Lepisosteus oculatus: one gene and its partners. The protein of the gene in region 2 purifies or fractionates together with the protein of the main gene of each other region. This does not show direct contact. Links are inferred from orthologs where the notes say so. Each region holds a gene or a part of one and is shown on either strand. Other genes may lie near its edges. The genes, in order: zbtb18, fbxl17 and zbtb10.

Region 1 (10,408 bases), on a different chromosome or scaffold from region 2:
TACAATATTCAACTGTAATTTTTAAAGATGGAGTTAAACCGTCAGAAAATGAAGTTGCCCTTAAGATTTTGTTTTTCAGTATTACAAATATATTACACAGACTTTAAAAATGACTACATGACCAGTGACTGATTCCAAGCCTAAAACACAAAGCTTCTGTAGTTCAGTCACACAGACAGATGCGTAACTACAGGACCGTGCAGCTCGGATACAGTTCCCCTGATTTCTCTCTGGGCAAGGACTGGGTTTATTATTATTCTAACCTGCTCTGGGTTTTAGGTAAGAGGCTTTTAGCTACACAAACCAAGCAAACCCTGTCTTTGTGCAACACTTAATACAGAAAGTATGCAGTTGTTCAAAAGATGCAAATTTGAATCAGAACATACTTTACATGCACCTGACCATGAAAAACATTTTCTTTTTATATCCTTTTCCAAATTTAAGGAAAAAAAAAAAGACTCACACTGGGTAAATCACAGAATCAAAAGTCCAATTTCAAATAATTTTCCAAAAGCTTGCTCATATCTGTGCCCCAGCAGAAAGCACTCTTAGAAAACAACACCACCTGTTAACTATATGGACTCTTCTCAGTGAAACAGAAAAATAAAAACCAAATTAGTATTTATTCTTATTCCAGGTTTGGTCATTTAACTATATATCACCTCATTTTATGGAGCAAGGCATTTCTTCCACTTTGTAAGAAAAGCCTGCAATTTGATTTTTTTTCCCCACCTCTTTCGAGAAACTGCACATCTTTCCTCAAAGAGGAAACCCAGAAGATTTACAATACAATCACTTTAAGTGCCCTGTAGTCTACATCAATCCTAATCCTTAAGATGGCTAAAAATAAAGATTGCAGGACAGCTCACAAGGTAGCAGCGATCAAATTAGGAGGCTGAAAGGACAGAGAGGGACGAAGAAGGAAGCTTATAAACATCTGATCCAGCTGACTGTGGCCATATGGCAGCTGCTGCCCAGATAAAGAGATTAGGACTAGGAGGAGTGCGATTACAGCTGTCTGGCCAATTCAGGCAGCTCAAATCTGCAAGTCCTAAATTAGTCACTATGACAAAAAAAGGAAAGAAATGCTTTCAAATAATTACCCTGCTATTTTAGATGGGTAAAATGAAAAGGAAAAAAAAACCTGTCTACACAGCCTGGCATGGTTTCTTTTGAAGTCACGACTTTTTCCTCTGTGCTTTACATACTCTCCCCCTTTTGAGGGCTATCGTTATTTTTGTAGAAAAAAAAAAGAGAATAAAGTTCTTTCGTTCCCTAGCTGGAATTCTTCCTGCCGATTTTTTCTCTCCCCTAAAACACACAGTGGCATCAACGAATACATCAGCTGCAATAAAACAAAAATCTCTTGTGTACAAGACACAAACATCAACAGCCTGTTTTACAACAAAAGGAAGGTAAAGGCACTGTGGGCACTCAAATACCACAACTGCCGTCAGGAATTGAATTCCGGATGCACTATGCGAAAAGCGGAAAAAAAAAAAAAGTTTCCCATTCATCTCCACCTCCCTACCAAGTTGAGTCCCGAAAAGCAAACAATCGAGCACGCTGGAACAATCACAGAGCCAGCGTGCCCGCGGACATCAGCCCTGACAGCCCTCCCTACCGTACCTGCTGCAGGCAGCACCAACCGGACCGAGCCCCGGCCGCAGCTCCTCCGCCGAGCCGAGAGACAGATGCCGAGTGGAGAGGACGCTGGAAGCGAACGAGATACCTTCTCCGCACGCAGAGCCGCACACACTAACTCCCTGCCTGTGTGCTAGAATAAAAGGCGGGGGGATGGCAGTCTGTCAGCTGCTCTGACATCATGTTCAGATGGAAATGCTACCTCCAGCTGTGCTCCTTTTAATGCCATATGTTACTCCTCTACACTCTTGCCACCAGCCTCTTCTTTACACAACTTTTTTTTCCTCCCTTTCTTTAAAAGAAATTGTACATCGAATTGTTTGGGGAGAACTGGTCAACCCCCCCCCCATTACAAATACACTTCAAAACACACACACACACCCCTCCAATCTGCACGGAAAGACAACTTTACCAAACAGGTCTGACACTTTTTTTTTCTAGCCTGGTTTACTGCATTACTGGAGGGATGCATTTAAAATCCTTCCAGTTTTTTGGAGTGTGCATTCCTCTCCCCAACCCCCCCCCCCCCCCCCCCACACACACACACACACAACCGCCCCCCCCCGGCCAGTAACCCTCCACAGAGCCCCACTCCGCAGATTTGCAACTGACAGTTCTGCAGCTGATATTGTTTTCGACTTCTTTACGGTTCAGTGCCCTCGCCAGAGCCGCCATTCACTGGATAACTGATTTAAAAAAAATAAGAAAAAGAAGACAGGGAAAGACTGTCCCCCCCAAAAAAAAATAATAAAATAAAATAAAATACGCAAGCCAGAAGAGTTTTGACCAAGTTTCGTTTTGTTGTTGTTGTGTTAAGGCTGCCCTGCTGCAGCGGCGCGCCTGAAAGTATCCGGCTCCCCCTCGCGGGTGACGATCTCGCGGTTCGGTTCCTGTTCGGCTGCGGCCGCCGACACCTCGAGTTTCACTCGGCGCAAACCCCACACGGGAGCTCACCGGAGCCGGGGCGACGGGAGGGGGGTCTGTGTTCTGCGGCGGAACCTCAGACCGGTGCGTGTGGCCCGACCCGACCCGTCCGGTCCGGTAACACCGCACGACACCAACACCACACGCGACTCGGCACCTGTCGCCGGCCGCCACCGAGCACAGACTAATGGCCAATATCGCCCACATTCCTCTCATTTCTCTTCACATCCGAGCAGTCAGAAGTTGCACCGCTGAATCACCTGTAAACCCGCTCCACCCCGGGGTCCCGTGTGGGCACATTTGCCGAAAACAGGGGGGTAAATTCGGAGCTTCTGGCCCGGGTGTGGGGGTGAGGGCTCGGCAATTCCTCAGGACATCGCCAAGAGCCGCGGCCGGCTCCTACAAGCCCGCCGGAGGTCACGGAGCTCCCCTGCCCGGGCTGCAGGCGACCTCACCGCCCGGCACAGCGGCGGCGGCCCCCGGCGACACCGCCTGCGGGGCTCCCGGCTCTCGCGGAGGGGCGACGAGAGAGCGCCGGGGCAAACAAGGAAACACGTGTGTCCTTGTGGCCCCTGAGTGTCACTTTCCTCCCCGGGATCGAGGCTTTCTTTGCTCCTTGATCAGAGCAGAAGCCTCCTCTCACGCGTGACAGATGACCGACCCTTGCAGCAGCAGCAGCAGCAGCAACAACAAAAGGGAAACCCGCACAAGAAGCAACAGTTTCACAGCGAACTTCTCTCCAAACTTCCCGGGACGCCCTGGGCAGGGCGCTCTGTCCCCCAGCTCCAGCCCCGCGCTGAGCGGCGCCCCGGGCGCGGAGGCAGCAGCGTGGGGGGACCCAGGAGCCACAGCCAGCCCACTGGCGCACACGGTCACGCCACGCCACGCCACGACCGGTAGCCGAGGCACCGGCGCTGCCCGACCGCTGCCCGCCGGGCTGCAGGCCCCGCCAGCGCTGTCTCCCGCAGCGGCGAGCCCCGCAACTCCCCGGGCTGCCCCGGCAGCGGCGCCCCAGGAAGATCACTACTTTTCCGTCTCCTTGCAGCCTGCCCCCCCCGCCGCCCGCCCGCTCGCTCGCCGCTTCCTCGCTCGGCTCCCCTCGCCCCCCTCCCGGCCCGAAACACCCCGGCGGCTCGGCGTACTCACAGGCAGCGGTGCCCCGCGTCGCCCTCCCCTCCCTGCTCGCCGAGGAAAAAACCGACCACAACAAAAAGAGCTACCGCGACTTTCCGCTGCTCCCCATAACAACCTGCAGAGGCAGAAAAGACAGAGCGGGGACCCGACGAGCTGCGGCAGCCAGATGTTTCCGAGCTGTTGCTACTCAACTCTCCGGCGGAGGGGGACGCGCCGTGACGGGCGGCCGCGGCGGCCAATGGCGGCGGCGGGCCGCGGCGCGCCAGCCAATCGGAGGCGGCCGCTCGGAGGGGGAGGGGGGAGAGGGAGGGGGGAGTGGGAGGGACGTCTGTTTGTTCGGCGTAGGTTGACACCAGGCAACAGTGAGAAGGCAGAAAAAAAAGGCCAAAGCGAGCTGGTTTCCTCAAGCGGACTGGCGCAGAGCGCAGGGAGCGAGACGGGCAGCCGGAGCGCGGTGGCGCCTGGGTGTTGTAGTCCTGGCGGGGCCGCAGGGAACAGGTGCCGCGGCCGGGGGAGAGCGGAGCCGCCAGGCCGCCGCCTTGTGCTGTTTCTGCTGTGCAGGGTGTGCTGGATGTGTTCGTAGGTAAAGACCGACGGAGGGAAAGCCCGTGTCCGCTGTGCCGGTCATGCATGAGCGCAGGTTGTGTGTGTGTGCGTTTGCATATGTGTGTGTGTGTGTGCGCGTTTCCCCACCCTGACCGAGTGTAACACCATCCACGAACTGTACCGAAATGTGCAAAAAAATGACTCCCAGTGTCTGCATGCTGTCGAGGTTATTTTCAGCATTTATGTGCGCGTAGGTTTAAGCCGCGTGTCGGAATTGTCTTAAAATCGGTTAATTGACTTGTAATTTCGCTACAGCCTGTATTTACTCACTGACCGCGGTGAAACGCACTCTTCGAGTCAGAGAGCAGCTGTGAATCATTATCCTTAAAATAGCTGTTTGTGTTTGACAGCTGTATCCCAGACAGATATAATAAAGCATTTACTGTATCATAACGTACGCGAATTCACGAAGATGTCAATTTCAAATCTGAAAAGAGACGGAAATTGTGTTGAAGTTACACAAATACGACTTTGTTAATTAAAATACTGTAGCCTCTCTTTCTAGGAACAGTCTCTTGCCGTGACGACTCATCAGTATCGCCGTCTGCTTCCCCAATGTCTTGCTTTTCTTTAATACAGATTAAAAGGATACGCTACTCGTCATGAACTGCGAGGCGCGATTTGTAACGTTTGTTTGAAGTCAATGTGTCCTGCAGCAGGTAGCCACTGAAATAGAGAGTGCGGAACGACAGTAAGATCGTTTTATTTCATGATCGGAAATTATTCCACAGTTTAGATTTAAATACAATGACATTGACCAAAGGGGCAACTGGAGTCTCAAGTACGGCATGAGAAAAACGGATGAAATGTGATTAAATTGACATCTCAACGATTTAATGTTTTAAACCAAATGTTTAAAGGTCTTTTTAAAACTGCGTTTTAAATGTTTTTTAATGAGTGACGCGCTTGTCAAACGCAGTCCGTACTCCTTCACTGGAACTGCGGGAATGTGTTACAGAGACGCTGCTGAGAGATTCAGTTCTGTATTTTCCGCTTTCGCTCTTCAAATTGAACTTCCTCATCCAGTCTTTTAACGGTAGCTGTAATATGTTTCGAGGGATTGACGCTTAGTTACACGTGTGTGTTTTTTTTTATTCCCGGGTAATTATTTTTGTTAAAGCCTGCGCGATAAAAATCGTAAAATTTCACGTTCACTCCTCACAGGAAAGCTTTGGTAACGCGAAACCAACTGAGAAGTAATACACTTCACCAGAATTGCACCGGAAAGCAGAATAGCGAATATTGTTTTTTTTTTTCAGCTGAACTGGGCTTAACAGGAGGAAAAAAAACATAACAAATTGTTTATAAATCAAAGCATAAGAACGTAAAAATTGAGCATGAATTGGTTCTTACAGAAGGAAGCTTAATATTTTTATTAAAACAATTTTGTGGATTTATTTGAAAAGACTGCTTATTTCTAAGGCATTTTGTCTTTGCATGCTTTTAATGATAAATGTAAGCATTCGATAACCTATGATCGATACAGGTAGTAAAATGATTAGGAATACAGTTAAGTGACTGTTAAACGTCACCCCGGTTTTTTTGTGCGCTTAAAATGTCAGACGAAATTTACATTTAGTTTCCGATTTGCTGTAAACTGCTGTTTACAGGTAATCTCACAACACCTCCGACGACCCGCAGAGAAAAAAAAATATTTTAAAAATATTGACTGACTGATAGCTTTAAATACTAGTCTAGCGTTTTCAGCAGTTTTCTGAAATCCCGGTAGAGACTCGGAGCTGAGCGCAGAAACGAGGTTCCCGTTTCTGACACACAGGCGCGATTGTCTCGGTAGCGTCGCGACAGATTGCAAACAGTCCTGCACCCCAACCCCGGCAGAGCAGAGGTTAGAGCAGAACAAAACCGTGTCGAATTCAAAAATAATAAACTGCTGATTGTGAAAGACCTGAAATGGAAGGCATCTGTAAACGGTTTATCTGTGTGTTAAAATGGCCTTGATAGTGTTATCTACTACGCTCACATATTTTTTTTTCAAGTAGCGCGCCGGCTGAAGACAACGTATAAACTTTAACGACATGTTTGAAAGTGTAAGAATGCGCATGGACAGGGTTTCGGGTGCTCTTCGTAGCCCAGGCGCTGTGACAACAAGAACAGAGGCGACGCAGGGGGTGTGAAGTTTGGGCAGAAAGCCTGGGATACACTTGTTCACAAGCTGTAGCTCTTACTGACATCGTTCAGCATATACGGTTCATTAAAAACCAAGATCAGGAGGCGCTCCTTTACACAAAGGGTGGTGGGGGTCTGGATAAAGCTGCCCAGCTAAGTTGAAACCGATACCCTGTTTTTTTCTTAACATCTGAATATGATCCTGGGATCAGTTTAACTCCTAACTAGCACAAGGGTCAGATAGGCTGAATGCCCTCCTCTCCTTTGGAATTGTTCTTATGTTCTTATGTATATTACAGAAATACAGCAGAATTCAAAAGAGACATCCCTTTTTCGGGAGATACAGAGTCACGTTTTCTTCTCTGGCTGATATTTTTGGGGTGATAACTTAGCCTTTCGAGTTCCTAAAACATCTTGGCAGCAGAGGCAGGGGTGTATTTACAGTAGAGCTTTATTCAGACTTAAACCGGATGAGTTTAAGACTAAGGGAAAGCTCAAGTGTACTCTTCAAAATTGGTGAATTGCTCTGCTTAATGCTAATGGTAAGGTCTTCCAGTTAAACAAAATACCTGAAAAAAACACATTCTGGTTGTGTGCTTTTGAAACGGCACTGGGAGAATACTCCCATGTCTAATCCAGGGTAAGGAAAAAAAAAAGCGTGGAGCACAGTCAAATTAGCCCAGGAGTATCTGGAAAACATTCCTCCAACTGTTTAATTAATTGCAGTTTCATTTGCACAGCAGAATGTACAAAGTTGTGTTGTTCAGTAAATGCCAGTGATCACAGAGGCAGGACGGGAGAACTAGGACACTGGGACCGGAGCCAGCAGAGCTGGGAGCCCTCCCTGTGAACGAGCCCAGCTCAGCGGAATGGCATCTTCAAGTGAGCCGAGGCGCCGATCTGCTGGGAGGACCTGGAAAATAGCCGCTCTGTGCCGTGTGTGCGCCTCACCCGGGCCCCGGCCTGAAATGAGATTTTCCTGCCAAGATCCTGGGCAAACGTCCGCTCCTTTCCCGTAGTTTTGTGTGATAGACCACTGTGTCACGGATCGCTGCATATCCCGTATGTGAAGGTGGTCATGTTCCAGATATGTGTGTGTGAATTAAATATCTTTTTTGTTTCTATTTGACATGTTGTGTTTCTATGTTATTGTCTTAATAGGAAGTATAATAGAAACAAGTCTCATCATGTTTTTGTTTCAGCTCTTTGCCATGTATGGGCTGCAGGCCCATCCCAGATCTCCAGTGTGGGTTACTGTTGTCTGTTTTAGAACTGCTTAGAATTTCCTTGGTCCTTTTAGAAATCTTGCTATGTTATACATACTAGCTTCATTTTTTGTTTCATTTGAAGAACCATTTATATTAGCACGGGGAATTCCACGTGTTCATTGTGTAAGAAAGTAATCACTTTTTTACACTTCCTAGTGAATTCTGTTATGTGTGCGTATCAGATATCTGCCGGAAACAGGTACAGTTTTCCGTCAGAGTCTGGCTTCTTGAACCCCTGACAGCTGTCTGCTGATGATAAAAGGTCGATGTGAAGATTTCAGAAACGCCCTGTTTCACAGGCAGTACTGTTAAACAACCAGACCTTCAGAAAGTGTTGGTACAGTACCACAATGTCAACACACAATCAATGCTACCAGGTGTTGGCATCAGCAGTGCAAGTTTTTCACTTTGTCCCAGAATCCCAAGTGATTAACGTCTTGTCTGAATTTTTGTGCGGCCGAGGAGCGTTCTGAGCCCCCACCTGAGGTTACAGCTGAGTCACCTGTACGGTCACGGCGATGGCGAGGCTGCATGTGTCTGATGTTGGACATGGCACTCCGAGAGGAGTGTTCCATCTGTTCCAGCGCAGATACAGGAGAGCCGTGGCTGTTGAAATCAAATCTCTTCATTTCTTCACAGAGACTCGGAGCAAGTCTTCCAGAAACCTCCTCTGCATTTCCTGTACCAGTTATTTCAAACGGAGCTTAGGAAAAAAAATTATTCACTCATTTCCGTCGTCCCCCATCTCTCCTGCAGCTGTCCAGTGTGTCAAAGATGTCTGGTCTTTCATGGAACAAAATGTCTATATCTTTGAAGCACGGGGAAAATTAGAAATAAAATATTTTTAATTCTTGCATTGCTGGTACGGGGTGGTGCTGTGTTTTCTCTTTAATACAAACGCTGCGAGATGTCTTTCCATTTTACTGAAGGTCCTGTGTCTGACAATCTGCTCGGAATCTGGCAGGCTTTCGGTTTCCAGGTGAAATTTGAATAGAATCTCTAAAACACATTAAATGTACAAACAGGAAGCTAACCAACGCGAAAAGCAGGAGCCTGTGTAGGCCGTGTCTTTCGGAGTCCAGTGCGTTATTACACGGCCCCGAGACTGAGCTACAGCAGAAGGGTAGGGTGGCCCAGAGGATATCAATAATTCAGCCAAACATGGAGGGGGCTTGTTTCCTCGTGGTCTTTATCTGTTCTATACACACCACAACCCACAGAAGGCCCGGCTCAATGCTGCTCACTCAACTGTGCTGAAATTTCAGCCGGATTGTATCTCACAACCCGTTAAGTGAACCCGGGTCCGCTTTCTGCGGCGAGCTCACACCTCGCGGCTGCGGGACAGCAGCGCGTTCCTCCGCGTGATGCCGACTTCCGCGGCTGCCTTTTCCAGAGAAGCGTCTTGTTTTCCGCGACATGGGCAGCGAGCCAGCAGGTGCGCCCTGGCCGCTGGCTACCTGGGTACAGCTGACTGAATTCATTCCAGCCCCGACCCACAGCTGTGCCCAGCAGAGCCCCGAACAGAACCGCACTTCGTCCCTAAACTCACCTGGGCGCGACAGTGCGGCGCGTGTCTGTGGGGAGAAAACTGGTCTATAAATAGACGCCCAGACAGGTGTGCAGGTGTTTTCAGGGCTTTCACATGAGGCATCATGGTGACTTGCAATTCCTAATGACAACGTGAATCCCCAGAGCTTTTGTTTAAGTGTCACGTCTCGTTTTATGGATCCAAAATAGGGTACAGACAGCACACAATAAGCAACCACGTTTCCAGAGGTCAGCTTTCTCCATCCGATTTTTTAAAAAATTGGTATTTGTTTCTGTGATGCCCTGATAGTAGTGCAATTTACATTCATCCCCTATATCTCTCCTTGCTTTAAAATCCGAAGATATCCAGCCCATTTCTTGGGGTTGCTTGTGTACACGTTGCGTTACATTAGTGCGCCCCTGACGGATCGATCGATTATAAAGGGGTTGCTGTGAAAAAGCCTGTCCAATTTCAAAGTTCGTCGAGATTTGCATACCTTGCATGGCTTTTAAACAGCTTTAAGCAGAACTTGCAGAACTCTGCCAGAAGCCATATGCAATTGAAATTTAAGTGGCTAATCCATATACCTTCATATGGCAAGCTTTTTCAGTCAGCAAAGCAGGCACATTTTTTACTATTGCATGCCGGCTTTCAATATGTTGCAGCTGTTTTGAAATATGTGCTCTTTCATACTGGCACAGTGTGCAAAAACGCAGAATAAAGAAAACTGCTGATTTTTGGACAAAGCTGTCGGCATATGTGATGAAATACCACAGTTTTGTGTGGTTGTGATAACAATGGCAATTTAATAATTCTGTGCATTTAAAAGCCATTTTCATCCCAAATGGTTTCAAAATGCTAAATGTGTGAAAATAAGAGGGGAACAACTTCATCCTCCACTGAAGCTCAGCTTCCCCTGTGTCGTGGCGACACATGACAGTAACTCTGCACCAGCAGCCCCACGGCACACTAGACCAGGGTGAGGAATGGGGAATGACATCACTAGTTTAATCTAGGGAAGGCAGGGGAGGCCTGATGGTATACATCCAGGGTGGAATTCAGCCAGGACACTGGGACCCTGCTCTTGGAACACTGCCTTCGGATCTTTAATGACAAAGAGTCAGGACCTCAGTTTTAAACTGTCTAAATAGTTTGTGGTATTTCAAGACAGACCTGA
Region 2 (10,279 bases):
ATATTGTAACACCACGGGGGCTCAGGCGGGCGCCCTTGCCGCATTAGGTCAGCCCCGCACCCGGCTTGAACCCGGGACTCCCGTGTCACTCAACAGGGACCCAGCCCGGTGAGCCAAAGAGAGATCTCAATACAGCCCAGTAGCTGTAGTCCTGCTATCACAGGGAAGGGCGGTGATGTCACCTGCTCTGGTACGCCTGCTCTTACACAGTACCTGTTGGCCGTAAGCGTTACAATATCATTTATCAGGTGTTTACCTAGTTTAAAGTGACCCAGGCCTACTGTCTACAGTAAATGCTTTTCAATTGCCTTTGCTGTGTTTCTCTATCCTTCTAATTTGGTATAATCTGCAAACTTTCCTAGTTTACTAACTTTACCAGAAACCAGATCACAGATTTAAATTAGGAAAGCAGCAGTCCTAAAACTAAAAAATGAATCTTTTATGTGGAACTTTTTCAAAAGCCATATTGTATTTTCTGTGCATGCCCAATACTGTTCTTTTGCTCAAAGAACTCTAACGAGTCAATTAAGTAAGACCTATGTTTCCTAAATCATAATAGTGAAATAATTATCATTTTCACAACAAAAAGAAAAGGAAGCAATTTAATTATTGATCTTTATACTGTAATAAATAATTATTAAAATAATTATCGGGTTTATAATTCCTTTTTAGTTTTTTGGATGGGCAATAAATTAGCAATTCGCAGGTAATTTATAAGTAAATTTTTGTTCATGGATGGTGAATATTACCTCTCTTTTGTGTCCTGGACTCTACCTGTAGTTTCGCAATAAACTTGACAGTACACTGTGCTATCATAACAGTTCCTAATGATTCTCACACCTGTTTTCTACATGCTATCTTGTAGACAAATATGGGCATTCCCTTTTATAGGTGCTGTGTCAAACCATGTAAGGACGCAGTGAGTAGCCATTTAAAATATTTCACTACTTCTGCAGTTGGTTTTCCCAAGACATTGTGACTATGTGAAAAAGTCTCTCATAAAGACTACTTCTTCCTTTACAAATGCATTGCTGACTTCATTTAAATAATGTTACCTTCGAATCAATGTCTAAATGTTGTGGTCTGTAGCATACTTCTAACATTGTACATTTTGAATGTTTTTATAAGCCTGATCCATACTGGTTCAGAAACCCTTGATTCCTCTAAGTTAATATCCTGTGCCTGAATGCTCTTTTTGATGTACAGTACTGTGCATTGCTACACCTCCTTATCTTCCATTGTTCCCATCTCTCTGGAAATCTGTGGATCAACTAATGTTGTATTGGTCATCATCAGTCTCTTTTAGCCATAATTCTGGGATTCCAATTACATTATATTCAACCTCTATAAGCAGTAGCTTCTCTCTCATGCATTTTCCTTCAGCTCTAGTAATGACTAAAAAATACAAAAGACATTTCAATTTTGACGGAGGCGTCCATTGGTGAAAGGTTCAATAATGAGATGATCACTACCTCATGAAGAAGAGGGCATTAAGAAAAGGAGGCTAACCAGTACCAAATAACTGTGAATCTTCCTAAAATGCTGGCAGCAGGGCGATTTCAGTAATCTGATGTATACTGCAAAGTTAACAGACCATCTTAAAAAGCTGAGATATGAACTTGCTGAAAAGAAACTTATTGACTCCCCAGAACCAAATTATATCAAATCCCGTGGTTGGATGAAACACAAATTGAGATTGTGGATAGGCTCGCCAGCAGTACAAGCAGCATCTGAAACGTGAAAAATGTTTCTTTCTCACATTGAAAAACAAATGTCCTGCCCTCTGTAAAGGAGATAAGTGGACCTGTCCTGCTTTAGGGCTGTTTTCTATTGTCTGGTCCAGATACGCTGCTCAGAATGGAGGGGCAGGTGGAGTCCAAGGTTTACTAGCGTATTTCAGCCAACAGTGTGTGCCGTCTGTCAAGAAACTTAAGTGTGGTCTCAAATTGACTTTACAGAGGGATACCACTTCGAAGTCTGCACCACACTTAATGACCAGATGGTCACGAGAGCGCAAAAACCAAATGATAGGTCATGATGTGTCATTGCAGACTCTAGCAGGACACTTATGATATGATCTGAGGAAAGCAGATCACAAGTACAGACTGCACAAGGTGGAGAAGCTGAAGAGGCTCAGCTCTGGTCAAGAGGCTGAAAGGTTGAAGAATCCAGTCATCAGAGCCAAAAGAGGGATAGAGAAATACTCCTCACCAGGGAATTCAAACATTTCTGCATTAGTTATTTGCAATTTTATTGATGGATGTTCTATTTATACACATATTATTAAAAAAGGAAAGGTTAAATCCATACAGAAAAGCAGAAAAAAGGCTTTGGAGTCTTGTTCGGGTGTGTGGTCTCTGTAGCTGAAACGTTTTTTTTCCTCCTTTCTTTTTAATTTTCAGTGTGAAATCAACCCCTGCTTGTCACTTTGCAACTCACACACCAACACAGCTCCCTCTTTAACTTCTACAGTACTGAAAGTCATCTAAATCCTTCATTTGTTATTTGCACGTATCTGGAAGATACTGTATATAATCTCAAAATTAAAAAAAAGAAAATTACCTGACTCTGTGAACACCTCCCCTTTCTTCATTCCAAGTTTTTTATAAATTTGCCTTTCTGGATCAACATATATTTCATGTGGATAGCCTGTCAGTGCGCAGAACGCCTGTATGTATGACCCATATGTAATATAAGTAAGAGTGATGCATAAAAATACACAGACACGTCTAGCATTTTCTAAAGGAGAACATGTACTTGATGTTTCAGATGAACTGCAAATCTGTGGTGGCCTTGTTAACAACTTTCTGGTAGCAAGGAAGGGTATAACATTGCAGAAGGTCTGATTATGACATTAGTGAACAAGAGAGGACATTTCACGTTATGTTTAGAAAACAGGTCACAGTAGGGTACTGAATGCCACCAATTTGTATAGCACTGTGTTAATCATAAATTAATACAATGTTGTAATGTAACTGACCTATCTCATCTTTTGGAACACACATACCTCAATGTGATGGTGTGAAGACTGTCCAATTACTATCAACCTGACATCAGCATCCTGTTGTTGAAATAAATATGAGTTTAACCATGATATTCTCCACAGAACTATATATTTTCTACTGAAAAGGAGCAGAAACTCTGGGAATTTAGGATTTAAATGCAACTCTATGCTTTGGACATATATTGTCACACGGTTAAATCTTTTAATATTTAGAATTTCCTCTAGAAAATTATTTTTACGATTTTGAGGGTCTGAACCCCCAGCCCGGCCTGTGCAAAGCCCCAATCCAGTTATTCTTACAGGTCATCTGTTTTCAAAAGATTGCCAACAGCTGTAAAGATATTGATGAATGAAGCAGGTGGGCTATTCATTAAAGTGAACTTCTGGCTCCTGAGAGCTGAAATATACTGTACTAACAACAAGTGAAAAAATAACCTTTGCTTTTTTATTCCCAGAAATCTAAGCTCTTTTATGAGATGTGCCTTGTAATAAGGCATTTTTGTTGTTTGCTGGTAATTACCATTCACATTTCAAATAATGGAAAATAATCAAAATAAATTTAAATAACTTTTAAAAATGTAATAATTCTACTACTTACTGTGAGGAACCTCTTAGGTATTTTGGCCAGATCTTCCACATACTCTTTGCATGTGTAACACAAAAAATGCTATAAATTCAAAAGTCAAATATTTAATTTGAAACAATTAGAAACAATTGAACATAGGCTATTTATATTTTAGATGCAAAATCCACGACGAACTATTTTACTTCAGTTAACAAGAGTTCACAATCGAAATGAAAGTATACCAACACGAGAAAAGGGTGCCATTTCGGATACTGCTTCCAATGCAATCATTTAAAAATATACGTATATAATACCTGCATTTTAATAAAACACCTCTGGTTTAATGTATCAGCACTATCCTTCTCACTCGTAAGGCAGATTTCCTTTAAATCGGATCTCTAATGCTTGTATTGAAACGTTTGAATACTTCGGTATTAAAACAGGGCTTTTACAGCATCGGAACTGGTAGCAGAAAAAAGCTTCTTACCCTAACGAAAATAACGATTGATTTCTTGTCGTCATATAAACTTTTAAAAGGAATCCGTTTCCCGTGCCGGTTGTAAACAAAACAATCTTCAACCTCTGAGATCGGAATATTAACCGGGTTTTTCTGGTGGCCTTGCTGGGCTCTGGCGATTTGTTGTGTGACGGGAAGATCTGCAGCCATCTCAATCCATTTACAGTACAACTTTTTTTCCCTCAAGTCTTGTCCGAGCTATTTTGGGCTTGCTTTGCAAAGTGTCCAAAAACTCAGAAACCACTCCCACAAAATTAACAAGTTCATGTGCAGTGAAGTAACCGAGTTCATGGAGAAATAACGCACATCTGGAAACAGAATTAATACATGCCCCTATGGACTACTGATAAATGTTTACTGCATCTCGATTATTTCATTTTACTTTCTTAAGCTTTTCCTTCCGATCTCTATGCGTCTGTGCGGCCCTGTGAAGAACCGCATTTGGTAAAGGGGTTTCATCGCTCCTGCTACAAATAACTGGTTAATTGACAAAAACCGAGTTATTGTCGACTTAAGATAAATCACTAATGATATGCAGCAACAGAACACTGAAAAATATTAAGCCTTATAGTTGTAAAATATACCGTATATCTCATGCTATTTCAGTAGCCTTTTTATGACGCCTAGCGACAATTTGGCGTATTGCATTTTGTGCATTTTTATGACAGCGCGCTGTTGTTTGCAACTACTAAATATGATAGTAATATAGTACCAAAAATAAAACAGTGCGTGGAATCGACAACACTTCACAGACAATGCTTTCAATTATCGGTCTGCAGACCGAACAGTTAGCGACATGTTTCTGAAGAAGGACCGATTTCTCATTCCTTTATTTAAAAAGAAAATCGAAATTCAATAAAAATCAGAGCAAAATTGGATATTCTGCAGCCCTTGTCCAGTCTCTGTATTTATCTTCAATTGTGTTAGCATGTTCATTTATTTTAAGTATTTTAAAATAAATAATTGTTGTCATAAAAGCATACATTAAAGCTGAAAAGCAATATTTTGAATGGAATCGATATAATTTTCTATGTAAAAACAATTATGTCTTTACATACAGTAGTCAGGCTTGTGTTCCCAACGTTTCTAATTGGTTGGCAGACATCTAGCATAAAGGTTACCACGAATTCTTTATTAATTTGACACGCAGTGCCAGGCTAAAGTGTATGATAATGAAAAGTACGCATATGCTGGAAAATAATCAGCATTTCTGATATTTGTGAGTTGCTTTTATTCCAAATGATACGCCACTGATTATTTAATCTACCGTGTATTAGACGAATTTCCTTAGGCAACTTCTTTCTTAACAAATAAAACGTGAACGGTAGCAGTTATAGTGAGTATGACAGAAGACCTCCCTCCCTTCCTACCCCTTCAAACCATGAAACCTATTTCTTATGTGTGTTTTATCTTAGCGATACAGTGTCGTTGTTGCTATGCACGGAGGCGGGCATCACCAACTTGACGGACAAGGTGAACATGCAGTCTGTGAAGCCCTGGCTTGACTGACAGGGAAGTCCTCCAATTAAAAAGCAAGGAAAGAGGCAGTACTCGTGAGTGAGGAACAGGGAATTTTCCAATCACTCTTTAAGCAGGGGGCAGGATTTCCTTTCTTGTGCTTATTCCGGAACACTTTCCACAGAGAGCAATAACATATATATGATGTGTGTACACGTTCGTACATAGCGTTGTGTCTGCAATATTTTAAGTCTGTCGAGCTGTTGGTGGTGTTTTATACGTGGATTATGAATGCACGGGTTGAAGGCGACTGGAATTGTGTGAACTGGTTGAGAAAACGTTGCTGTAAGTAAGACGAACTGTTCCTTCTCATCAAATTCAGTTAGAAAGTTGTTTTTTTTTTCTTACAGGTTAGACATTGCCAGCTGAATGTGTTGTATTGCTATATATATTTTTAAAAACTTACAAAAAACACTTAACGACCTTGCCTTTCAAGCCTGTTCTCGTGTTCCGAGATGTCTAAATCATTTTTGTCATGCACGAATTCAGCTTCTCGAGGTGAAGGCAAAATAATGATTATTTTTGCTGAGTTTCGAGGAAGGCCCAGTACTTACGGTGTGAATAAAAATTGTACTAAAACAAGTACATGTCAGGTCATTGCTGGCAATACCCCTGTTAATTTAAAAGCAGCTCGCTGCATAATATAGTGTGGAGCCCACGGCTCATGTATTTTGAATAATGGTGTGTGATCAGTTCTAGGAAGAAGTAAAATAATAAATTTGGTTATGATTTATGCAAGGCATCGATGATAAAACTATAGTTATTTTATTAGACGAACATCTGGTACCTGCAACACTAAATGCTGAAAATTGCATAGTACCAGGATGCCTGAACAGTACTATTTAGGCAGTTTTCAAGATGTGTATACAAGAGATCAGTTGAAACCAATAACGCTCTTCAAAATCCCGTCCCAAACTGTGTGGTGTGTAGAACTACCGAACAAGCACATTTGAAGCCTTAAAATATTTCCAAGATTTTTGATGTATGATTTTATAAAGGCAGTTCTACTACTGCACTTGTGGTAATAAACGCAATGATTCCAAAGTTAATTTAATATGTTGCTTTGTCTCCAACAAATTCAGATTTCGTGCAAAAAAGATACAACAGTTTTTGGAATGTGATTTTTGTTAGCCTTTTCCTGTAGTTTTGAATGAACAGCGACCATAAAACTCAAGGCAGTAAATGCGCTTGATCTGTCCAGTCTCATTTTTCAGCACATTTAAGGTTACTAGTTTAGCATTCAGGTAGGTTTCTGAATAACACCCATAGCACCAAAAACTGCTTTCTAGGCTTGATCACCTCACCTGCTGTCTTTGATCGCCATGAACTACTGTATACTGTTCAGACATCAGTGGTGCGTTTGTTAGAAAAATGCACATATTCCTTTCTTCCTTCAGTGTTTCTGTGGAAGGCTTCCAATATTATTGATTCATTGTTGAAAGTGAATATGCACCTTTTTTTACACTAAGCATAATGAATTGGAGCACATCAATTCAAAGGACAGTGGATCCTAACAGAGCAGCTTAGCATTTAGGGCCATGTTCACTGGAGATAAAATGCACGTGTAGTTATTGTCATCCATAACTTGGCTGAGGAGCCAATGATGCGAAGCTGCCATCTGTGGGATTATGAGTGAATGTCTCCCAGTCAGGATCCCCTCTAAAAGGTAGGGAAAGGGAAAATAGTTTTCTGCAGTGAGGTGTCACTGTCTATTAAACCTTATCAGACTAAGCTCAGATGATACAAAGGTCTTTGCCTGTATGTGTGTGAAAGTACTTTGAGAGTACTCAGATTGCTGTTTCACATCACAGCACATCACATCGGTGGGTGGAAAGCAAAGCTCACTGCTGTTGTCCTAGATAGCCTAATGGAAACAACACTTGGCTCTTAAATGATTGACAACACAGTTGTGTTGCCTCTTGAATCGGAATAACAGAAAGGCTGGTCAGCCAAGGCCTGGGGAATTAAGAATGTAATTCCCTTCCAAAATAGAAATAGAAAAATAGAAAATAATTAACATCATCTTACAGGAACAGGATTGGAGCAGTGCTTTAAGAACATAAAAACGGTTTAAAAGAAGAGGAGGCTGTTTAACCCCTCTGGCCTGCTTGACAGCCAGTAGCTAATCGATCCGAGGGCATCTCATCCAGCCGTTTCTTGAAAGAAGCTTCAACATCATGGCAAAGTTGTCATGTGGAACACGTTGAATCATAGTCAACAGGTGTTTGTAATGTTAGTAGCCTGAGTGTAAGCAGTCCTGTTTGTGATATCACACAGTTTGTGTAGATATACAAAACGAGCAATGTTTGCACGGCTTGATTTTTGATTTGCCATCTGGTCGACATTTTAGGCTGCTCATTCCGAGTCCCAATTACTCAAGCTGTGATGAATGAGCGAGCCCCTTCAGAGTGCTTGTATTGACAGCGTCTTGTGTTTTTTGTACTTTTTCTACTGCATTGTATGATTGAAGTTGCATTGATTGTATACATCTTATAAAGTCCGTTGGAGGTTTCCTGTAAGGCATGTGCAAGGCCAAAGGAAAATGTCGGCTGTCTGTAGACAATAAAGCGGATTTTGATTCCGATTTTCTCCCCAACACCCATCTTGGCTGTAAGCGAGCCACAGCCTTACCTTGCCTTTTATCTGAGAGTGTGTTCCCCCCCCCCACTGGGCTTTTCCACAGAGGCACCCTGAGTCATCTATATGGGCCATCTTCTCTCTAAAAATGGCAAGCGCGTGAAGAAGAAGAAGAGGAAGCTGCGGAGGAACTGCTTTCTGCACGGGCCGTGCATGCTGTGCTTCATCGTCCACAACCCCAGCAGCCTTGCCGAGGACCAGCTCGAGAGCGCCTCCAAGCTCGCCGAGAGGTACGCCGCGCTCGGCTCCCCCGAGGACTGCGCCCGCTTCCTCCTGTCCCCGAAGGAGCTCGCCCTGTGGGAGGAGCAAGGCAAGAGCCTGCTGTCGGGCGTCCCCGCCAAGCTCTTCCGCACCGTCTCCGCCGGCGACTACTCCGAGATGGTCTGCAAGCGCAAGTGCCCGCCGGGGGCGCAGAGGGGCGCCCCCTGCAAGCAGGCGCGGCGCGCCTTCCAGGAGGCGGCCGAGAACGGGGCGGGCGGCGCCCCAGCCGCCGTGGCGCCGCCGCCGCCGCCGCCGCCGCCGCCTCAGTTCCACCTCCCCCTCTGCATCCTGCCCTCCTCGTCCTCTTCGGAGGGCTCCACTGGGGGGCTCCCGACGGGCTCAGGGGAGAGCCCCGCCGGCACCGCCAGCACCGCCACCCCCCAGAGCCCCTCCGAGAGCACCCCGCTGGTGCCCAGCGACAGCCAGGGTGACTCTAAAGCGTGTGAGGCCGACATGCCCAGCATCAACCACCTCCCTGCGTCGATCCTGCTAAACGTGAGTGTGAAAAGAGGAGAGGGGGAACCTGCGGGCTGGGGTACTGCCTGAGTTTTATTCGGATATTTTTATGGGGACACTATACTGTAAAAAGGCACCATCCTTCAGATGAGAAGTAGAACCGATGACCTGACTCTCTGTGCTCGTTAAACCCAGGGTGTTTCTCGAAAAGAGTAGGGGTGTCCCGACCAAATTTCCCATTGGTCTTTACCAATCATGGCCTCCTAATAAACCCCATCTCTGAACTGGCTTCATCACTCTATCCTCCTCCCCACTGATAGCTGATTTCTGGTGAGTGTACTGGCGCATCATCCAGGTGGGGATACACATTGGTGGTGGAGGGGAGTCCCCATTACCTCTAAAGCACTTTGGGTGGAGTGTCCAGAAAAGCACTTTGTTAGTGTAAGGATGTTATTTTATTATACAGCGTACTTAGATGAAAAGTGCATTAATAGAAAACTGTCAATTTAATTCATTCACACCGGTCTGTGCACCTAGCAACTGATTCCCAGAGTGTTGGTATCAGTACAGATATTCCTGACCGTGCTTACAGGAAGACATAGTCAGGTGTGTGTTTTTCTAGTTTTTGTGTGCGGAAAGCATTCAGGACTATATACTCAATTTTCTGGCACCGTCGGAGAGATGCACTGATGACGCATTCTAGTAGCAGTGGAGAAATTTTAACGGATGAAAAATCGGTTTAAACTTTCTCTGGTTTCTGCTGGTTAATTGATTAACTGTACTCCTTCTCAATGAATTAGATTGAACTGACTGTTTGTGCATGCCCGATATAAGGCATTGCCAAACAAAAAGCTAAAGGAAAAGGAGTTGTATTTAGTTGCAGTGCAAGTGCAACAAGATTCCAGAAACGTATTTATTTGAATCACAAAAAAAAAAATCTCTTTTTTGAGTGGTGCTATAATGCAAGTCCATCGTCTTATTTTATCTCATTAGGAGGCACATGATAGAGTCTTTTATTTATTCACATCTCATTCATTTTATTCATTTTATAATTAAAATACGATGTATTATGGCAAAACTATATTAGGTATTTTCAAGGAAATAGAGGGACTCTAAGGAAAAGAAGTGGTATTTAATTAAAAACTTACTGAAAAACATTGACATTTTGACCAGGCACAAAACATTCTTTGACTCTTTGAGTTCCGGCTACATTAACGCTTTCCAATGATACCTGAAGGTACAAAAAAGGCTGAAGCTGTTTGAAATCTGACCTCTGCCCCTCCCAGCCTCTATTGGAAAAAATCCATAGTCTCATATTTCC
Region 3 (10,163 bases), on a different chromosome or scaffold from region 2:
GTGGAAGACGCGACAGTACAGAATGAACGTAGACACCAGCCGGCCCACCAGTTTCGTTTCAGGACAGGAATAGCAAAGAAGCGTCTTTCGAAAGCTGCCGGTTTATGTCTTTAACGGCCGAGAGAGAGACCCGCGGTTGCCGAGTGACCTCACGACTACCAGGACCTGACGTGGTCATTGGGCGAGATGATGGCATCTATCGTGGTTTTATTTCCTGCTCGGTAACTGCAGGGGACTTCACCACACGCGCACACGCAACCTGAAAATACGAAAAGGCTGCGACTCCTGCGTCTTAGGGTTTCGGTACCAGCTGGGCCTTCAAATACTGCGCTGACACTTTAAACTGAACTCAGGTGTATCATGGCCTCTCTTTTTAACACAATGGACTCTTGAGCGGTATAAAGTTTCAAGTTACTTGCAATCATCTTGAAATCTGCAGGTGTCGAAGGCATACGATAAGCAAAACAGACTGAACAAATTAATAGTTCAGTTAATGGTTCAAACAAACTACTGGACACTCATGCAATGAAAAGGACCAGTCTGGGATCTCCTGACCTCAACAGCGAGACTTGTTTCTTTACTTCAGCACTGCACGGTGTCTTTAAGGGGTCCCTGTCTTTAAGGGTCCCTTTTCCGACACCCCAGGGTGTTGAGAACAGCCTGGTCCAGTCACCCAGTACCTGTAGGTACAGCTTCCCCCAGGCAAAGAACTCCCAGCGTGTTAATCCCAGTGTCCTGGCTAAATCCCACTGTGGGTTCATCCATTCTGACCTCCTGAAGCCCCCCTTACGTCAACTGGAGAAGTAACTCCTCCCCTCTCCCCTCTCATTAGGGCAGCAGCAGCCCTGCAGCGGGCTCATAACATGAACCACTCCACCGCTGGATGAAGTCTCCTCCTATGCGTCAAGTGCTTGGGATGAAAACCGCTGTGCACACGCAGTTCGTCAATAACTATACGTGCATGGCTGCAGATGTTTACCATGTTGTTGTTGTTTTTTATGAACAAGATTGGAGCCCCTTGACATAAAGATCAAGAAATGACTCGGGCAGTCCGATCGTGTCTGGATTTACAGACAACTTGTTAAAAGAGGAAGTGTGCTCTCTCTCTCTCTCTCAGAACACCTACTAGCTTTCATAGCACTTAAGACCAGGTCAAAACTGAGCGAGTGGACAAGCTCCATTATCGCCTCTTCCCATAGACTCGCCACGGTAGAAACTGCAATCCACAGACCACTGAACTGCCGTGCAGTTTGTTTGTTTTTTATTATTTTCGCCCACGAGTGAGGCCTGAAATCAGGATTGGTTCACTGGAATAACTTTTAAAAACTAACCAGGTCCCCACGATACTACCAACGCCAACCACCGTGCCATCGATTTACTTCACTAAACGACCTTCGCCAATTCGCCGGCTGCTTCAGAGACGCTCAAACCCGCAGCGATTCACCTGAAGGCCTTTTTGTTTTTGGGGAGGGGGGCAGATTCACGGCTCGCCGGCTAAGGATAGCCCTCACCCCGCTCCTCTCAGAAGGCGCTTTGTTTTTTAATGCAAGCCAGCCGGCTGCGGGGTTCGAACCGGTCGGTCCCACCTTGCGTGGAAGGGGGAAAAAAAAAACTTCTCATGCTTTCTCTTTCTCGCATGCGGCGCTTTCCCCGGGGCTGTGGAAAGTCTGGGGCTGCCAACTTGTACGAAACAGCGCAAGATATACATACAGCCCCCCCTCTCTCTCTCTGCACAGTGGACGTGCAGACAAGTTCCCAGGACCCGGACGTGTCGCCGGCCGGAGTGACACCAGTCAACACCACACGGCCGCTCACGCCTCGGACTTTCCTGCGCCTCAGAGCTGGCCGGCGTTTGGGGGAGAGGGGGGGTCCATGCGGGGCCGCTTTAATTAATACCTCACGCGTCCGCCTTTTCCGAGAAAAACACGAGCCCCCGTGGGGCCGAGCCGTGAATCCCACGACAGCGCGTCTACTTCCGCACCGGACGGACACACACAGGCAGGAGCACGCCGCCTTGAGTCGCCCCTGGAGTTCGTTTTAGGCCGACGGGGAAAAAATAAAAAAATACATCGCGTTTCCTGGTCCTGCACCCGACAGGAGGCCGAGGCGGAGGTCACCGGGGAACACGCCGGGCCGGGGGGTGCAGCGCCCCCCCCGAGAAACACGCAGCGTGACCCCACACCCCCCCACGCACACACACACCCCGGCAATTAAGCAAATGAGGCAGAAAAAGAAAATTCGGACTGGCGATCACGGCGTTCATCCGTGACCAGAGAAAAAAGCGCTGAATTCGGGGAAAGGAAAGGGTGGTGAGGTGGTGGTGAGGGGGGCAACACTAGTGTTTATCCGGTGTGTGTGGGGGGGTTACCGTCCGGGTTTCATCATCCCCGGGGGTCTAGCTAGGTAATTTAGTTCGTTTGTTTTTTTTCTAGTTAGAAGGGGGAAAAAAAAACGAGATTAAACGCCCGTTACGCGTTAAGACGTTGCCACCCCCCACCCCCCACCCCAGAAGCAACTTTCAAGACTAGGCTTTTTATTTTGGGGGGATGCGCTTCACCGAATCGGTCTCCCGAAGAAGAGTGATGCGGTGCGACGCCCCCCTCCCTCCAGCCCCCAGAATAAAAAATAAACAAGCGTGTGACGATGGTGATGGTGGTGGTGGTGGTGGTGGCACCCCCTCCCTCTCCCCACCTCCATACCTGCTTGTCGGGGTCGTTCCTGCCGTGCTCCGCGGACAGGTGGTGCCGCAGCAGCAGGGCGCGTTTGTAGTTGCGGCTGCCCTTGGCCAGCTCGTCGCCGCCCGGGCCGCGGCACCAGGCGCAGGACATGAGCCCGCTGTCCTGGCCGAAGCGCAGCCAGGGGAACTCCTGCAGCCAGGAGCGCTGGAACAGCGAGTGCTTCTGCAGCAGCGTCTGCGGCCGCATCTCCACCCAGGGCTTCCTGGCCCCGCTCTCCTCCCCGTCGGCCCGCTCGTCCTCCCCGGACGCGGTGCCGCCGCTGCCGGCGCCGGCCCCGTCGTCGTCCTGCAGGGGGTCATCGCCGCCGGCCCCCCAGCCGCTGCTGCCCCCTTCCCGGCGGTCGCCCTCGGCGGCGGCGGCGGCCGGCTGCGGGGGCAGGCTGCCGTCCCCGTCCCCGCCCGGGTGGGCGACCCGCTCGTCCTCCCGGAGCCCGAGCCCCCAGCCGGCCCCTTCCGCGTCCTCTTCCTCCTCCGCCTCCGTGCTGTCGCTGATCGACCCCCCACCCTCCAGTGTCCCCAGCGACGCCCCCCGCGCCCCCAGATCCCGGTCCTCCTCTTGCTCCGGCCTGTTCCCGTTTAAATGCCGATCTTGCCAGGCCTGGGCCTCCCAGCTGTTGCCGTGGCCGCCGCCGACGCCGCTGGCGCCGGTGACGGCTAATCCACCTCCTCGGAAAGCCAGCGACCTGCGGTTCCTTTCCCCGGACATTTCTCCGCGATAAATTAGAAATCCGCACTTCTCGCTACGAAATCCCCCGGCCGGGCAAGGCAGTCGAGAAGAGTTTCCGCACCTTCCTGAGTTTTTTTTTTTGTTTTGTTTCCCGAATTCTTTCTTTTTTTTTATTCCCCAACACGGCGGGGGGCCTGTTTTCTCTCTCTCTCTCTGGCCTGCTGGCGAGACCGTGTAGGTTATGCGGAAATAAATAAAGGTTTTAAACGCATAATGAATTTCAGGGCTCTTCTGTCGGCGTCCGCGCAGGCCCTGCAGAGGTCGAATGCCAACGACTTTCCCCACAATGCATCTCGCTCGCGGGGAGCGGGGGGGGGCCCTCTCGGAGGAAGGTGGGGGTGCTCCTGACAGCCGGGGGGTCGGGATGGGGAGGGGGGCTTTTGTGTGTCGGCCGCTGCACCCGACTTTTTTCTCCTCCTCCTCCTCCTCCTCGCTTGGTGCGTCTTTTGCTTGTGCAAACTGGAGACCTCGAAATAAAACACACCCAGGGACCCCGGCCGAAGCAGAAGCAGCAGCCCCTCCTCCTCCTCCTCTCTCCCACCTTACATCATTACTGGCTGCAAGAGAGCGCATCACGACAGGTTACTAACCTGCCTGTTAGCGCGCCGTGTCGGCTCTTCAGGAGCGGATAATGGGCAGGTGAGCCGGCGGCCCCCGGTGCGCTTCGCTCCGGAGCTGTAGGCTGGAGGTTTCTTGCCGGCGAGCACCGCGGCCAAACCGCGGGGCAAGGACCGAAACTACAGTTAAATGTCCCCCCTTCAACTGCTACGTCTAGCCCCGGTAGATGGAAACGCGTTGTTGTTGTTGTTGTTGTTGTTGTTGTTGTTGTTTTTTAGCGAAGCGGTAGGATCTGCTTATGTTGGAAGACGGAGAGAGAGATGGGGGGGAGAGAAAAAAAACGAAACAAAAAAAAAAACACCGCTCAGCTCCAAGCATTTATTTTACAAGCGTGGCGAGGCAGCAATTTCTGAGACCCCCCCCCAAAAAACACACACACACACACCGTGAGGACTGTACTGAGAGACGGTCCAAACGACTTCTAGACTCTCAAGAGCTGACAAAGGGGCCAGACCAAGACCTACACACTCCCCAAACAAGCGGATATGCGTATTATTCATTATAATGACATCTTACGTGTTATAGTTATAATTTATATCGTAATGGCATCTTAGGCTGAAATGTAGTTGTGAAGCCCTTCGAAGATCTTGCAGCGGGCGTATGTGATGTGTACAGGATAATTAGATATATTGCTGCTAAATTATTCGTCCAAGTGTGTCACCTGGGATTTGAACCCTAAACCCCCCAGTGACTGGGTATTACCCACTACCCCACTATGGATAAAATCCACTTCTTCTCCAACCCTAAGACATGGGATTTTAATTGCACAAAGCGGATTTGTCAAATGAATAAAACGTATCTATTTTCTCGGTCGAAGTTGTACACAATGTTTGTTGTACAGCATCTTACCAGTTGTTGTGTGTGTGTGTTTTTTTTTTAAGATTCATTCCACTGAAATCGATTTTACGAGCCGCTGCTTTTAAGAGGACGCTGCTTCAAAGCAATGAGCTCTCCCACCCGTGGGGGTCTTTTAGAGCCGTGTCCGGCTCGGGTGGGACATGAGGGGTGAGCCCAGGCTGGCTTTGATTAGTGATGCCTTGGCAGAATGGCGCTGGCGCGGGCGGTCCAGTAGGTGGCACTGTACCCTGGAGAAAATAAAATAACCGAGCTCAAGTCCTCCCTGTGCGCATAGGAGATCGTTTTGAAGACGCTCTCTTTGAAGAACATGATAATCCGTGGCGTTATCTTGTTACGGTTTGTCACGGTGCTCTCCATGACAGCAGGATTGTTAACTACTGTGTAGTGGCTCAATTAGGCAGAGGTCTCTTTATTACTTCTGTACTCCTGTATTATGCCTGCCATTTCTTTTACCCCTCAGCCGGGTGCATAGTAAAAAAAAACATTTCTTTAAAAAACAAACGTGTGCACGATCGATGGTAAAAGCTGAAATACTTGAGGGCCCTTGGCTGTCCTATAAAGTATTCAAGAATCAATTCAAGCAATCTAGCACGGCTGGTGCATACAGACACCCCGAGATCTGCTCTCACTTGGAGTTTAGCAAATCAATTCCTGTAACGCATTTCTGTAATAAACGGTTACGAGTCACTTAAACTATGGAAGAAAAAAAAACGTGTTCTACACGTACTGTATAACGTCACATATTTAGGTTTTAGGATTTATGAACTCAACCTTGAAGTTCTGGGACTGCGTTGGCCTATGCCATGAAGCAGGGCCCGTTGAAAACAAACTGTTGCTTCTGACATTTTTTGCAATGCTGGAGAACCTTAAAACTCTTTATTAACAGTACGAAGGATTTAAAAACTGTAGCCAATACTTGTGAGTGCCCTACACATGTCAATACAATACACCAGAAAACGAGATCTTACTAAGGCAGAAGGCGCTGGTTTATGTGTTTTACTCACCTCGTAGCAAATACACCACACATACATTTTTTAAAATGTAAATTGTTTTAAAAATACGCTCTTTATCGGGGGGGATAAATTAAATTTTAGTGTTATAATTAAATATACAAAACCAGTTTCGAACTTCAAAGACTGTTTATTCAGTCTCCTGTCTATGTTTTTTTTTCCTCGAAAACTACTTAGCTACTTAGTAGCGAAAACTACTTTAGTCAACATGTTCTAATGTGACTCCTTTTTTTAATTTCTGCCCTTTTCTATTAACTGCTGGACTGCTCGGGGCAGAAATGATTGTGCCTTCGTGTAGAAGGGGCAATTTCCTTAAACGTTAAATGGCTACAGGTGCGTCTCTATGTAATGTTTAACGCTTTAGGAAATACGAGTTAATGGAAAACAAACGCAATGTTTTCACCGCAGTACAGTATTTAACCCTCTACTATAAACTGGCATCTACATGTAAATCGTTTTGTAAATTGAGCAGATTTATGATATTCACAAACGCTACAACTTGTATGTCCTTTGTTAGTAAGCCATATAGGCACTGTAATTAGCAGAAGGTGATCTTAAGATTAAGGAGCTTTCGTGTTTAAAGCACTCAAATAGGTAAAATACAGTGGCTAAATCTATTTTTTTTCTATTTTGCAACTGCGAACTGTTCATTTACTGTATTTGCATTCAGGATTCAAAGCTTGATCTTGAACAATAGCACTAAACCGATACTGTGTATTTAACATGTAGAGTCGTGAAGGAGTTGCTAGCACGCCTCATGTGAAACATGCAAATTACTGTTAAGTGCATAAAACTGCTATCAGTTTGTTTGTTTTTCCAGAGAGGGTTGTAGTTAAGTTTTTTTGTAGCTTCATCGCATTTCTGGCAAGAACGAGTCCTGTAAATCGTGCGTGTACAGGGTTACCAAAAAGTGGGTCATTTTTCCTACGTTTCAGTGGAAACAAATGCTCTAGTTTTGTTCGCGTATTTTATGTTAACGGGCGTTGCTGCACATTTAGCTGTTCTATATACAAGCACTGTAAATGCACAGATTGAATAATTAATGGTGGGACTTCACACGGCTAGTTAAATTATCTTTGCTCTTGGTATTTTGTTCAATTTTCGAAAATGTATGGCATAAATAGCTTGAGTTGTATAATCGAGCTATTTCTAAATGAATACATCCACGTCCTCCTAACACAGGTTGTGGACTCTTAGCATTTTAGAATGATTCGTTTTCTATAGTGATTTCCCAGTCTCATTCTGAAGATCTCGCTAGCGATCTTCATTTATTGCCTGTAAAGCGCTTTGAGTGGAGTGTCCAGAAAACCGCTATATAAATATAAGCTATTATTATTATTATTATTATTATTTACATTTTCTTTTACCCTTTTATTTAGTTTAAACGATAGCAATAAACCTAATGTGTTCTGTCCTTTTAGATTATTTCAGGCGATTGGAAATATCCACAGCTTTGGGGGGGTCGCTGAGAAGGGACGACCATCATTGCAACTGGAATTGGTGTAAAATTTTCTTTTAAACGGTTCTGACATTTTGGCTTCGGTTAACAATAGAAACGCGTTTAAGGACGCATAGATACTACGTAGAAAGATATTGGGTAAAGGATCTGAAAATATTCTAAAGTGCGTTTTTACGTATTGATCTTCTTTAGTTCGAACATTTCATGTTTTATATAGCCGTCACTATAGGTCAAATACACCGAGCCAGTACGACACGGTGCTTGGTAGCAGGGTTCCTGGGTCATTCTCAAGTCCGGAGAGCCGCTGATGTGGCGCACTGAGTTCCAATAAAGAGGTCCCGAATTCTGAATGATTATTTGTGCCAATGATAAACTGAATCTCATATCTGCTGTAGATCGATATCTACAAAATCGATCGTGTGTGCATATACTCCCGATAATTTGTTATTAGATTTGAATTAAATGCTGAAATACTCCTCCGGCACAAGCCTTAAATACGTTTTAGGTTTTAATTTATGTGGCATATCGCGTTGACTTCAGTAAGAAAAACCATGCATACTTCAGATTCTTGAGTGAAACAGGCAAGGGTCATTAGTTTTACATTTACAGTACATGAAGGCTACATTATAATGTACACAAAGTTATCTGGGGACATCTCATTTATATCTGAGGATCTTCACTGTCAGAGGAAGGTGGGCCTCTGGTTTTTCCTGAGTGATGATTTGCGTGTCTTATCAGAATTGTGTTGGGCAAAGTCATAAATTCCTTACAGTTCTTTCAATATACTGGGTTACAGGAACAGGATTGTACCTATATCTGTAATTGTGTCAATTAATGATAAACTTGTAAAAGTTTTAACACTCCAATGCTTGCGATGCAGGAAGTATTTAGTGCTTTCAAGTAATACTGACCTGTGTTAGGAATGTAGCCATTGATTATACTCTGAACTCCATAACCCTATTCACTTGCATAGGAAAAGGAGAGATCCAGTTTTCATCACTACACGTGGGTCTAGTTTGATCAACTGAAACTCTGCGTTCTCCAGCTATCACGCTGAGGAATCATCAGTGACATTGCCAGGGGTCACCGGGGTCAGCCTGTGTTAAAAGTTGCAGGTTTAGAGGTCGTTATCTGCATGGGAGTGATTGCAAGTGAAGCTGAGCCAGCTAAGCTGCCTCTACAACAGCTTCAGTAAATTAATTTGAAGATTTCCGATACTCCTGCTCTCCGACAGAAAGGTTCCTCGCTACAGATGAAATGTGGCCATAGTTTGGTACCCAGCAAAGTACCAAGATGGCATTACACAAGATGTTGGAGGTTTTGCCAAAAGCAGTGTAAAATTAAACGTTGAGGAAGGCCTGCACATGTGAAAAAACATCCATCCATTGTCCAGCTGCTTTCTCCAATAAAGGGTTGCGGTGGAGTTGGAACCTATCCCAGCAAGCAATAGGTGCCAGGCAGGATGCCAGTCCATCGCAGGGCATGCACAAAAACACGCCAGGGCCAGTTTTCCCAGAAGCCCATGAACCTGCCGGTGTGTGCCAGGTGCCTTTGTGGATGTGCTGTCCTCCGCAAGCTCGCTATTGACCGGGGCGAACCCGCCCTGTGTCCAAGGTCTTCCAACTCAGCCACCGTTTCAGCACTGTGGGTATGGGACAACAGCCACAAGACTGGCATGAGGTAGTATTCAGATGAATGAACCTGCTTACTTCTTAAAAGACCCTGATAAAAGCATTTTTAATGGGATTTAATTCTACTACATGTAAATAAAAATTACCTACGGTGTCTCTTCCTCAGTATCCCTACTTACCCCATGAACCACTTCGTGGATAGTTCCATCACAGTAAAATTACAATGGAAAAAAATGGATGTGACACGTATATGGCAGAAGATGATTAAAAAGAGTCACACCCCTTTGACTTGTCTTAATTTAATTTCCCTCGCTAAAATATGTCTGAACACACTTCTCCAAAATGTACATGGTCATATATAATAGTACATTATAAGCTGTTGCAAGAATGAAGGTGTCATCAGTATTCATAAATGAATCACAGGGCTGCTTCAGCTGGAATGCAATTTATAGCTGAATATTCCAGCATGTGAAGAAAAAAACACATTGTTTGAGTCGAATATTGCAAGTTTTTGTTTTTCTCACTCAAAGGGGTGGGGGTTTTGTTTTTCTCGTGAAATGCAGTAGTTAAAAAGACAAACGTCAACATGTCTCAGAGCTGAGAACAGTCCTAAATGAATCCTGTTATGAAGTCGAGGAAGGCTTCAGCCGTGTGACGCCGACCGGCAGGTGTGGGGACTCAGGATGGCGAACCGCTGCGTTATTGAACTTCTCCAGCCCCGCCGAGCTCTCGGACTCTTTACCTTCAGCAGGAACCGGACTCAATTCCGCATTTTATCACCCTGCAGAGGGCAGCGTCTGTTACTTTGCCTTCGGTGGGTAATTTTAAGCAGCCAGATTCGTCGCAGTCGGCATTCACCTTGCGTACCACGGTACCATCTCCATTTAGGCGAGCATCGTATATCTCTTTTATCGATTGATTTGTAGGTATCTGACATGCCTAGGTATAAATAATACCCCGTGACGAAAGCACCTCTTCTAGGTTTTCCGCGGCTGAAATGCCACTTCGCACAGCCCACGGAAAACACACCGACATCCGCCTAACCGTGCGCTGGGAAGCGGGGGGGGGGGCGCTGAGCGACTCACCGCGGACTACAAACAGCCCCCCCCAGCCGGCCCCACGT

What was found.
Region 1: the proteins of fbxl17 (region 2) and zbtb18 purify together in Homo sapiens (co-immunoprecipitation; 3 studies listed by BioGRID and IntAct, with this or other methods). This does not show direct contact. The link is inferred for Lepisosteus oculatus from reciprocal best matches to the Homo sapiens genes FBXL17 and ZBTB18.
Region 3: the proteins of fbxl17 (region 2) and zbtb10 purify together in Homo sapiens (affinity purification with western blotting; 3 studies listed by BioGRID and IntAct, with this or other methods). This does not show direct contact. The link is inferred for Lepisosteus oculatus from reciprocal best matches to the Homo sapiens genes FBXL17 and ZBTB10.

What each region holds. Positions count from the first base shown.
Region 1 is NC_090712.1:1,251,998-1,262,405, reverse strand, and holds the start of zbtb18 (zinc finger and BTB domain-containing protein 18), read right to left. Parts: upstream 4,538-10,408; 5' UTR 4,335-4,537; coding exon 3,818-4,334; exon of another isoform or gene 3,715-3,817; intron 2,130-3,714; exon of another isoform or gene 1,630-2,129; intron 1,092-1,629; exon of another isoform or gene 733-1,091; intron 1-732.
Region 2 is NC_090698.1:57,057,237-57,067,515, reverse strand, and holds the start of fbxl17 (F-box/LRR-repeat protein 17), read left to right. Parts: upstream 1-5,680; 5' UTR 5,681-5,889; intron 5,890-8,287; 5' UTR 8,288-8,307; coding exon 8,308-8,997; intron 8,998-10,279. Other genes in the region: prxl2c (peroxiredoxin-like 2C), read right to left, coding at 2,563-2,668, 3,008-3,061, 3,603-3,671, 4,057-4,236. UniProt on the Homo sapiens protein: Substrate-recognition component of the SCF(FBXL17) E3 ubiquitin ligase complex, a key component of a quality control pathway required to ensure functional dimerization of BTB domain-containing proteins (dimerization quality control, DQC).
Region 3 is NC_090705.1:39,776,248-39,786,410, reverse strand, and holds the start of zbtb10 (zinc finger and BTB domain-containing protein 10), read right to left. Parts: upstream 3,986-10,163; 5' UTR 3,444-3,985; coding exon 2,700-3,443; intron 1-2,699. UniProt on the Homo sapiens protein: May be involved in transcriptional regulation.